4 linked regions of the Saccharomyces cerevisiae S288C genome follow. Changing the gene in region 1 together with any one later gene gives a genetic interaction. Each region holds a gene or a part of one and is shown in the gene's direction. Other genes may lie near its edges.

The links.
Region 2: mutations in NBP35 (region 1) and YIR018C-A together harm fitness more than expected from each alone (negative genetic interaction), as found in Saccharomyces cerevisiae (one large-scale study listed by BioGRID).
Region 3: mutations in NBP35 (region 1) and YLR154C-H together harm fitness more than expected from each alone (negative genetic interaction), as found in Saccharomyces cerevisiae (one large-scale study listed by BioGRID).
Region 4: mutations in NBP35 (region 1) and UPA1 together harm fitness more than expected from each alone (negative genetic interaction), as found in Saccharomyces cerevisiae (one large-scale study listed by BioGRID).

The regions. Positions count from the first base shown.
Region 1 is NC_001139.9:341,490-344,841, reverse strand, and holds NBP35 (Fe-S cluster-binding ATPase), read left to right. Parts: upstream 1-1,799; coding exon 1,800-2,786; downstream 2,787-3,352. Other genes in the region: MF(ALPHA)2 (Mf(Alpha)2p), read left to right, coding at 1-51; LIF1 (Lif1p), read right to left, coding at 258-1,523; nucleocytoplasmic transporter NUP145, read right to left, coding at 2,983-3,352. UniProt on the Saccharomyces cerevisiae protein: Component of the cytosolic iron-sulfur (Fe/S) protein assembly (CIA) machinery. Required for maturation of extramitochondrial Fe-S proteins.
Region 2 is NC_001141.2:385,064-387,611, reverse strand, and holds YIR018C-A (uncharacterized protein), read left to right. Parts: upstream 1-1,910; coding exon 1,911-2,048; downstream 2,049-2,548. Other genes in the region: YAP5 (Yap5p), read right to left, coding at 2,266-2,548.
Region 3 is NC_001144.5:468,267-470,782, reverse strand, and holds YLR154C-H (uncharacterized protein), read left to right. Parts: upstream 1-1,824; coding exon 1,825-1,956; downstream 1,957-2,516. Other genes in the region: asparaginase ASP3-1, read left to right, coding at 378-1,466.
Region 4 is NC_001139.9:1,058,437-1,062,003, reverse strand, and holds UPA1 (putative methyltransferase), read left to right. Parts: upstream 1-1,963; coding exon 1,964-2,989; downstream 2,990-3,567. Other genes in the region: ZUO1 (zuotin), read left to right, coding at 1-152; protein ERV29, read left to right, coding at 414-1,346; BGL2 (glucan 1,3-beta-glucosidase), read left to right, coding at 3,280-3,567.

The DNA.
Region 1 (3,352 bases):
GCTGATGCTTGGCACTGGTTGCAACTCAAGCCAGGCCAACCAATGTACTGAAAAATGACCCTAAACTACTTCTAAACCCTCTCGATTTCTTTCACGTTCATACAACACCTAGTTTTATTTATTTTCTTTTCAATCTGAGTAGTTGAGTTTTCGATCACTCACATAGAACTATTTTTTGCCATTTAAATAAAGTATTCTCTCAAATGATGCGATACTATAATACTCTTTGCCATATATTACATTCATTCATAAATAGGCTATGTTTCTATATCCGTTTCCGATTCTGTCTGCAAGCAAGGTTCCCTATCATTACCGGATTGTTCACTATGGTTGGAGCTCTTCTTTTCCCCTGCACTTGCATCAGTCTCAGATTCAGAACCAGAAATGTCTCCGTAATCTTCATCCGATCTTCCTGCTGATATTTGAATACCATTGTCTTCTAAAGACACTAAATGTTTTTGAACATCACTGCTACTATCAGATTCAAAACTTATTGATTGTGTGTCATCTCCAAAAGAGGTAATATCATCGTACTTTTCACTGAGTTTATCTTTAGCAGTAATAATTGGCCTTTTAGAAAGTCCGAAAAATTGAAAGTCATCAAAATCGTCGTCTTCCATTTTGATCACGGATTGATTAGATATTTTTCTATTAGCTCTCCTCCGACTTGTGTCTTTCAACTTCTTTTGTAAATTTTGAGGCTCTACTACCGTCTTTCTTCGTTTCATTCTTTTTCCTGGAGAGTTTAACTCAGAAATTGGCTTTTGCACTTCCGTATTAATAAGCGCAGAATCTAAAACATCATCGTCAGACAATTTGATATTATTTTGTCGCAGAATCTCATGAAGCTCTCTTATTTTCTTCTTCTTCTCATTCAACAAGGTTACCATCATTGCTCTGGTTCTTTCATCACGTGTTTCTAAAAGCTTATCCAATAGCTCCCTTTCCCGAGCCAGCTGTTCAACTCGATTTCTATTGCTAGAATCGCTCTCCTTTATATTCCGGTAAGAATCGTTAACACAACAGATATCTTTATAGAGTTTATCTGCCATTTCAAATAAATCAATCTCTCCCTTTTTGACTGGATGCAAGGTAAGTTCAGCGATTTTTCTTATGATCGCCGATGACTCCAACTCCATAACTACTTTCCATACCTCATCATCTTGCATTCTGCACGTCCATTTTGTGAATACGACTTTTTCGTCTAACGATGCAATGTACACTTTGTGACCAGTTAACATTTTGAGTAGTTCATACCACACATATTTCTTAGACTCTTCATCGATATTTTCTCCCGTAAAGATTCGCAAATCATTGATTCCAAAACTGCTTTTGGAAAAAATTCCTGTACCTTCACTTACCAACATTTTCTCTATTCTAAGCCCTGAAAGACTGTTCTCATCTAATGTTTCCAACATAGCGCCATCTTCAATCTGAATCTTACAGAGGCCACGCTCATCTTCTTCATTTTGTTCTTCATTAACCACAGGGATACAGCTAATGAACTCCGTCAGCTGGGACATAGCACCCTACATAAATAAGTCATCCAATGCACAATTCTCTCAGTTCTATGCATTGACACGTCGAAAACTGCCGTTCATCTTATTATTCTTTAATATGGCTTTTCAAAATACGCTTCCGGGTACTTTTTCGGATTCATTAATGGTGTAATTAGTAATGCGTAGAAATATTTTGTATATAATAATAAATAACATGTTTGTCCAACAACTCGTAGGCTAGGCTAAACGTGAAGTCTTTCTGTTTTTGAGAACAACAGTATACATAAGTGATATCCAAGAATGACTGAGATACTACCACATGTAAACGACGAAGTGCTACCAGCAGAGTATGAACTTAATCAGCCGGAACCAGAACACTGTCCTGGTCCAGAATCAGACATGGCAGGTAAGTCCGATGCTTGTGGTGGCTGCGCCAATAAAGAAATATGTGAAAGTCTTCCGAAAGGCCCTGATCCAGATATTCCATTGATCACAGATAACTTGTCAGGAATAGAACATAAAATATTGGTTTTATCAGGCAAAGGTGGCGTAGGCAAGTCGACATTTGCCGCAATGCTAAGTTGGGCACTTTCAGCTGACGAAGATTTACAAGTAGGTGCCATGGATTTAGATATATGTGGACCTTCTTTGCCACATATGTTAGGCTGCATTAAAGAAACCGTCCATGAATCGAACTCCGGTTGGACACCTGTCTATGTGACTGATAATTTAGCCACCATGTCTATTCAATATATGCTTCCAGAAGACGATTCCGCCATTATATGGAGGGGTTCAAAAAAGAATTTATTGATAAAAAAATTTTTAAAGGATGTTGATTGGGATAAACTCGATTACTTGGTAATCGACACACCGCCCGGAACATCTGATGAGCACATTTCAATAAACAAGTATATGAGAGAATCTGGCATAGATGGTGCCCTTGTGGTCACCACACCTCAGGAAGTAGCTTTATTAGATGTACGGAAAGAGATAGATTTCTGTAAGAAGGCTGGTATCAATATTCTTGGACTAGTGGAAAATATGAGCGGATTTGTATGTCCAAATTGCAAAGGAGAGTCCCAAATATTCAAGGCTACCACAGGTGGAGGTGAAGCACTTTGTAAGGAATTGGGCATCAAATTTTTGGGGTCTGTTCCGTTAGATCCGAGGATTGGCAAGAGTTGTGACATGGGTGAAAGTTTCCTGGATAACTATCCTGACAGCCCAGCTTCGAGTGCTGTACTTAACGTTGTGGAGGCTCTGCGAGATGCTGTGGGGGATGTATAGTATATTTTATCAAAAAGAATAAAAGGAAGTGCATTAGAGGTCAAATCGTTTTATAATATAAATATCATTACCTTTAAATCTTAGACCTACTGAAGAACACTTTTACCATATATAATGCTACTAATTACTCCAAAAGCGTTAGCTTCAGTCCATGTTTTACTATTTTTCTTTTTTTTAGAAATAAAAATAAAAAAACTTATATCTTATATGTACACTTCATTAAATCCTGGGCAAACTCACCCCTCAAGTATGCCTTTTCTGGCTGCCCTAGGGGGAGCTCAAGCAATTTGGCCTTCGAATCGCCTATTGAAGGATTGTTTTTCTCCAATATTTTTGATACAATCTCTTGGGACATAACATTACAACATGCGGCCACTTCACGACAGTGCTTATACTGATCATAAAATATCTTCATACCACTAATTAATGAATCGATAGTCTCCTGCGTTTCAACATTATCCAACACAAGCTTTAGATATACTTCAAATACGTTTATACTTACACTCCATTTGTCCCTCTCAGAGTCTGGAAATTCGTTAAGAATTTCCCTCAAAGTTTTCAGTTCA
Region 2 (2,548 bases), on another chromosome or scaffold:
TGACTTTCTATTTCCGGTATTTACAGCACTGACATATGTGAGGCTTATCGCAAAAACTGTTTACAGCTGCAGAGCAGCAAAGAAGTTGACACAAGGATACGAGCGAATTAGGGTGGGCGCTTATACTTAGTTTGAAACACAGAGGGAGGATACTGACCTAAAATGGAAAAACGTACACCCGTTGATCAGGATTATCTGTAATGAAAAACACAGGACTAAGTCGAATAGCTTTTTTCAGATGAGTCTCGCCGTTAAAATTGCCAGTGTAACGTAAACAAGAGACTGTTTCAGATTGAGAAAATTTTCTTTTCTTTTCTTTTCTTTTCCGAAGGCCTCCCACCATTGAACGTGATTATGACTTCCAATAATCAGAGGATGACTTAAAAACCCCTTGATAAGATCTATTATTTTCGCGATATGCCAAAGACAACCGCCCTTCTTTTTTTTTTTTTTTTTTTTTTTTTTTTTGTTGGGAAAACTTCGTGTAAAAGGGTTAGGCTGAGATTTATCTAGAGACGCTAGCCTTCGAAATTCTCCATTTACTTTGAAGCATTGCCATCGCACTAGATGACCTTGTTTATTCTGAGGTGCCAAGAGTTAAAATTTCTTCGAGGTCTCCTTTTCAACGTTAGGTCTACGTAATGGACGAAGAAAGTGTCAAGAAGCTAATAACCCTCCGCAGTTCGTTGCCACATTCAATAAAGGAAATTCCGTTCCTATTGAAACAAAAAGCTCTTGGTACGCGCGCAGAGAGTCTGGATCGAACCTGACGGAGATATATGTCAGATCGACGTGACATGTAACATTAGAAATCTGCGTAGCGTTATTGATAGATCTCATTCTAGGCCTTCCACGAACCTTCCGGGCGGAGAATAATATCCGCAGAACATGATGCTAAAAGCCAGCTAGCGAGAAAAGAGGCAACAATAGAAAAAATGCGCGCGCCCTTCTAAACTACGTCAGCGCTATACGTAACTAGGGAGCCCAGAGAAACGCCTATAAGATTTCGTGGTAGCCACCGATCTGTCATTCGAGATCTCTGACGCTCTTCTGAAACATTCTCCTTTTTATCTACAGAAAACTCAAAGGGTCCTCCACTTGTATAGTTTCACAGTTTAACTTCAGCACCGTGTTATATCCTTTGCATAACGCAACGCAATTGTGACAGCCTCTCGTTCAGACCCTACTTTAACAAGCTCGCTAAAAAGGAAGCGCAAGAGTTTGTAATTTGCCTCTTGCGTCTGCTTTATTCTATTCGCAGTTTGATCGCACTAAAATATAGCTCCGAGAGTATGTATGGAGGTCTGTTAAAGAGATTGTTCTGGCCTGAGTTTTAATTCATCAAGGTTAGATACGGAGGACTGAACTCTCCACGAATAACCAGCCTTTCTTTATATCTATTTTGGAGAAAAGTCGTACTGTCATCAGTTCGAGGATGGTTGCTGCGCTTTATGATTCATCTACCTGTTCCAGACTGCTCACCAAATCCTCGTTTTTCAGTTTGTCACTACGGTAGTGTTCGTACAGCCGTAAAGGAGACCAGTATGGAAGGAGATTTGCTTGCGCCAAAGCTTCTTTTGCGTAACGTCTAACTACAGCTAGATTCTCAAAAATTCGTGTTCAACTCAGAAGAGGAAAGCAATTTAAAAATGAAATTTGCGGGGATCCCATTATCTCTATTGTTTAGCACATTAGGATCTCATCCGCCAATACTAGAATTTGACACGACTTTCAAAAGGAAAGATCTAAATTATGGTATCATGTTAATAATCAGTACGCATATTCGCATTTAGATTTAAATGGTTTGCGTCCAGTTTTTCTTATGTACGATCTATTTTACGTTATAATAACGGTTCTACCATTACATTTACATAGTAGACAGGCTGCCACTCCTCTGCGTCAAAAATAATATGCCTAGTGATTATACTTCCCATTACCCAGTAATACTTATCAAAAAAAAAAAAAAAAAAATTGCAGGAATGTATAGGCATAGTAAGCGGTACCTTGAGATAATGTCCACCGCTTCAGCTCAATTCGTCGGAAACTAACGTCTCAAAATATGGCGGCGAGAACACCAAAGGCGGGGTGTCCAAAACGCTTTTGCACTCTGCGGCCAATGTCCATGAACTAATTCTTTACACATAACCACAGTAATAAACTTGCAAAGAAAAAAGCAATGTCACTCCTTTCATGTGCGTTCTTTTGACGTTACAAAAGTTGAGCTGTTCAATGACGTATTTATAAGTATTAAGAAGTTCTCTCTCTTCAGTGGATGATGGACCGGATGTCGATACATGATTTGTCGATATTAGTACAATTACTACAGAGCCCATTGGGGTTATCTTTATTATTGCACTCTGCATGTGGCATCGACATATCCTTCTGTTCTGTGGCCACACCGTCGTCACTTTTACGGTGATCTGTTTCCAGTTCTTTACAAACGCAAGTAGTGTTGTCGTTACAAAAGCCGCATTTGACAGAGCTAGGCAGTTCTGTCGAGTGCTGGTGGCGCTTGATAGCGGTATTGTACTTAATAGGTATCGCCTTC
Region 3 (2,516 bases), on another chromosome or scaffold:
CTTAGTCCTCCGAAGGGTAAACCCCGTCTCTTATCTTTAAAAAAATGTATCAGACCCTTCAGCACGTGACAGACAGCAAACTACCAGTCGACGAGGATGCTTTTCCGAAAGTCATGACACAAGGGAAGGACTGTAAGATCGATATCGGCGCAGTCTTATCGGATGTTCCAAGTCCTTGTCTCTTTCATTATCTGCTTGCTATCGCAAAAAAAAAAAAATCAATTTGTTTAATATCAACACATAATGTACAAGAACAAATCATGACATACAAAAGCCATATAAGATGAGTCTTCAAGCAGCACCAAGAGGCCTGAGGCAGAGCAAATGTTGGCTCGCTATTCTTTTGTAAGCAATCTGGTACTCACCAACCTCCAACTATGAGATCTTTAAATACCCTTTTACTTTCTCTCTTTGTCGCAATGTCCAGTGGTGCTCCACTACTAAAAATTCGTGAAGAGAAGAATTCTTCTTTGCCATCAATCAAAATTTTTGGTACCGGCGGTACTATCGCTTCCAAGGGTTCGACAAGTGCAACAACGGCGGGTTATAGCGTGGGATTAACCGTAAATGATTTAATAGAAGCCGTCCCATCTTTAGCTGAGAAGGCAAATCTGGACTATCTTCAAGTGTCTAACGTTGGTTCAAATTCTTTAAACTATACGCATCTGATCCCATTGTATCACGGTATCTCCGAGGCACTAGCCTCTGATGACTACGCTGGTGCGGTTGTCACTCATGGGACCGACACTATGGAGGAGACAGCTTTCTTCTTAGATTTGACCATAAATTCAGAGAAGCCAGTATGTATCGCAGGCGCTATGCGTCCAGCCACTGCCACGTCTGCTGATGGCCCAATGAATTTATATCAAGCAGTGTCTATTGCTGCTTCTGAGAAATCACTGGGTCGTGGCACGATGATCACTCTAAACGATCGTATTGCCTCTGGGTTTTGGACAACGAAAATGAATGCCAACTCTTTAGATACATTCAGAGCGGATGAACAGGGATATTTAGGTTACTTTTCAAATGATGACGTGGAGTTTTACTACCCACCAGTCAAGCCAAATGGATGGCAATTTTTTGACATTTCCAACCTCACAGACCCTTCGGAAATTCCAGAAGTCATTATTCTGTACTCCTATCAAGGCTTGAATCCTGAGCTAATAGTAAAGGCCGTCAAGGACCTGGGCGCAAAAGGTATCGTGTTGGCGGGTTCTGGAGCTGGTTCCTGGACTGCTACGGGTAGTATTGTAAACGAACAACTTTATGAAGAGTATGGTATACCAATTGTTCACAGCAGAAGAACAGCAGATGGTACAGTTCCTCCAGATGATGCCCCAGAGTACGCCATTGGATCTGGCTACCTAAACCCTCAAAAATCGCGTATTTTGCTACAATTATGTTTGTACTCCGGCTACGGCATGGATCAGATTAGGTCTGTTTTTTCTGGCGTCTACGGTGGTTAAAGCCTGATCAGTGACTTTTCATCACACTGTGTTTTTATATAGTTCTTAGTAGTAAATATACTCTATAATTTCTACATCCTTTTCATGATGTGCCAGTTAAGCTATTTTTAGCAAACAAAAAGATGAATTTGAGTATTGAGCACATCATTCACTGTTCAGCTGATACAAAACATATGATTTCTAATATTCACATAGGAAAAATCGCTCCAAACATCGAAGTATCATCGCTACTTTGGTCTTTTATCTGCTTCTCTTCTCTTCGCTCTTTTCACTGCTCGTGCCGCTGCAACGCTCCAACTCAGTTCTATCTCAGCTCCTTCCCCTTATCCCTTGAGCAGTGTCAAGGCGAGGCTGCGTGATGTATTCGTGCGCGAAAAAAAAAACAACTGCAGCACCTGAGTTTCGCGTATGGTCACCCACTACACTACTCGGTCAGGCTCTTACCAGCTTAACTACAGTTGATCGGACGGGAAACGGTGCTTTCTGGTAGATATGGCCGCAACCGATAGTTTAACGGAAACGCAGGTGATATGAGGGCAGGGTCCAGACATGTTCAGTAGGTGGGAGTGAGAGGTGTTATGGGTGGAGGACAATTTTTATTATATTTCATCTAATAGCAATAGGATATGACAGGTGAAAAAGCAAAAGCAATAGTGCATTGTGATGTGGAGAATAAGGTGCATACGATGAAAAAGGTGATTTGTCATTTACAAGAGGTAGGTCGAAACAGAACATGAAAGTTGGTCGGTAGGTGGCATGCAGAGGTAGTTTCAAGGTGACAGGTTATGAAGATATGGTGCAAAAGACAAATGGATGGTGGCAGGCATAGTAAAATGATGGTGTGGAAGACATAGATGGTATTTGTTTTGCATTTACGGCACCGGATGCGGGCGATAATGACGGGAAGAGATTTAGTATGTGGGACAGAATGTCGGCGGCAGTATTGAGACCATGAGAGTAGCAAACGTAAGTCTAAAGGTTGTTTTATAGTAGTTAGGATGTAGAAAATGTATTCCGATAGGCCATTTTACATTTGGAGGGACGGTTGAA
Region 4 (3,567 bases), 720 kb from region 1:
TCGTTGACAGTTTGAATGACGAAGAGTTAGTGTCCACCGCCGATAAGATCAAGGCCAATGCTGCTGGTGCCAAGGAAGTTTTGAAGGAATCTGCAAAGACTATTGTCGATTCTGGCAAACTACCATCCAGCTTGTTGTCCTACTTCGTGTGAATACCGTAAGAAATGGAATAGAATATATACGAATGTATACGAATATTATAGAGAACGTTCTCTTTTATTTCTATAATGAATAGGTTCGGGTAACGGTTCCCTTTTTAGGTATTTCTAGAAGATGAGAGAAGAGGGAATAATGAGAAAGGCGAAAAATAAAGGACACCTTTAACGAAAGATCAAAGGTGTCCTTATTTACTTACAATAGCTGCAATTAGTACGACTCAAAAAAAGTGAAAACAAAACTGAAAGGATAGATCAATGTCTTACAGAGGACCTATTGGAAATTTTGGCGGTATGCCAATGTCATCATCGCAAGGACCATACTCTGGCGGTGCACAATTCAGATCAAACCAGAACCAATCCACTTCTGGCATCTTAAAGCAATGGAAGCATTCTTTTGAAAAGTTTGCCTCCAGAATTGAGGGGCTCACTGACAATGCAGTTGTTTATAAATTGAAGCCTTACATTCCAAGTTTGTCAAGATTTTTCATTGTGGCCACCTTTTATGAAGATTCGTTTAGGATCTTATCACAATGGTCAGATCAAATTTTTTATCTGAATAAGTGGAAGCATTACCCATACTTCTTTGTCGTTGTGTTTCTAGTGGTTGTTACCGTTTCCATGTTGATTGGCGCCAGTTTGTTAGTTTTAAGAAAGCAAACCAATTATGCCACCGGTGTGTTATGTGCTTGCGTTATTTCTCAAGCATTAGTTTATGGGTTGTTTACGGGTTCATCATTTGTCCTAAGAAACTTTAGTGTTATTGGTGGGTTGTTAATTGCATTCAGCGATTCAATTGTTCAAAACAAGACAACATTCGGTATGCTTCCTGAATTAAACAGCAAAAACGACAAAGCGAAGGGTTACCTGTTGTTTGCTGGTAGAATTTTAATTGTTTTAATGTTTATCGCTTTCACTTTCAGTAAATCATGGTTTACTGTTGTTTTGACCATTATCGGCACAATATGTTTCGCCATTGGTTACAAGACAAAATTCGCATCCATTATGTTGGGTTTGATACTAACTTTTTACAATATCACGCTAAACAACTACTGGTTTTATAACAATACTAAGAGAGATTTCTTGAAGTATGAGTTTTACCAGAACTTAAGCATCATTGGTGGGCTTCTATTAGTTACTAATACTGGCGCTGGTGAATTATCCGTTGATGAAAAGAAGAAGATTTACTAGATTGTAAAGGAAATCTTTTCTTTATGTCCCTTCTGTTCACTCATCTTCTAACAATCTATTTCGTTTTGCCTTCTTGTGATCGCTTTCAATACCCTGCTAGCTCACATATATACTTTTCTTACTGTCATATCTACATAAAAGATTTCTTTTTGTATAGGCGCACTTAACGAAATTTGATTGGTCTCACGTTGGCTTGTATATTCTACCTTCAATCAATGTGGTTATATCGCACAGAATTCCCTTGTATTATGATAGAACTTATTTATTGTAATTAGTTTTGATTTGACCATTTTCGTTGGTCCGTAATTGTTTTACACTGTCACTGCTTAAATCATTGAAGAGATGCTCTTGAGATAGCATCCGCTCTCCTATCTTTCCAAAGAAACGCTTTAAAGTCGCTTTAAGCAATCTCTAAAGTTTAAAAATTCCTAATAAATAGCTCTTTAGCAACTATTGTAAACCGCAATAATGGGCACACCCAAACATATTATTTGAAATTTTTTCCACCTCATCGCTTGAAAACACCATGTTGAAATTGGGATATTAAGTAGAGGAGGTAATTGATACCAATGAGGTGAAACACATCTACCAAGGGAAGTGTAGCATAATAGGGGAAGATGGCAGTAAAACATAAATCCGAGAGCCTTAAGCACGAAGAGGGGGCTGCCAAAAAGGCAAAGACAGGCCTATTGAAGCTAAAAAAAATCATGGATATAGAATCTAATGTGGTCAAATATTCCATATGCATACCGACAACTGTTATCGACAATTGTAATAATTTGGAGCAAGTTACATTTACTGCATATCAAATAGCTCGGACAGCTGTATTGTTCAATGTTCAAGAAATCATAGTTCTAGACCAGTCAAAAGATAAAAAGCATGAAAAAAAATCAAGATCAAAGGAGACTATCTCTGATTGTTTATTACTTGCCACACTATTACAATATTTTGTAACGCCTCCAAACTTACTGGATACTACATTCAAAAAAAAAAACAAGTTATATTTAAAGTGTGCATCTACCTTTCCGCCATTGAACCAGCTACCTTTTATGAACGCATCTGCCGAACAACACTACAAGGAAGGCTTATCAATCGCACGAGATAGCTCAAAAGGTAAATCTGATGATGCTCTAACAAATTTGGTGTATATAGGAAAGAATCAAATTATTACGTTATCTAACCAAAATATTCCCAATACTGCGCGTGTAACAGTTGATACAGAGCGCAAAGAAGTAGTGTCACCCATAGATGCTTACAAAGGAAAACCACTCGGCTATCATGTTCGAATGGCAAGCACTTTGAATGAGGTGTCCGAAGGTTACACAAAGATCGTTTGGGTCAACAGTGGTGACTTCCACTACGACGAAGAGTTGTCAAAGTACCACAAGGTAGAAACAAAGCTACCATACATCGCAAAACTGAAAAAAAGTTCAACATCAGAAAAACCCTGTAATATCCTGCTTATCTTCGGGAAATGGGGCCATTTAAAACGTTGTTTCAGGAGATCTGACTTAGAATCCTCTTCTTTGCATCATTACTTTTCTGGTCAACTGCAATTCCCTGCTTCCGTACCCCAGGGAAATATACCCATTCAAGATAGCCTACCCATAGCTCTTACCATGTTTCAGCGTTGGGCAAGTTGAAATAAATAGCAATTAATAACTGATATTACTATTTATGTTATATAATCATCGTTTTCTACGGATATGCAGTTCTATTTTTAGTAAAAGAAACGTTAAAATTTTTCTTTCAGTTTTTCGCCCTGAAAAAGAGAAAAATGTCACGAAGAAAACAAGAGGATATTTGTTTATTTTGATTTTAACTGCCTCCTTATAAAGAAACTTTTCCTCATTCACAATTTGGACTTCTTCTTGTTTTTTTCAATATAAGTTTATTGAGATAGACAACTAACCAAAAAGAAAAACGGTCAAAGATGCGTTTCTCTACTACACTCGCTACTGCAGCTACTGCGCTATTTTTCACAGCCTCCCAAGTTTCAGCTATTGGTGAACTAGCCTTTAACTTGGGTGTCAAGAACAACGATGGTACTTGTAAGTCCACTTCCGACTATGAAACCGAATTACAAGCTTTGAAGAGCTACACTTCCACCGTCAAAGTTTACGCTGCCTCAGATTGTAACACTTTGCAAAACTTAGGTCCTGCTGCTGAAGCTGAGGGATTTACTATCTTTGTCGGTGTTTGGCCAACAGACGACAGTCAT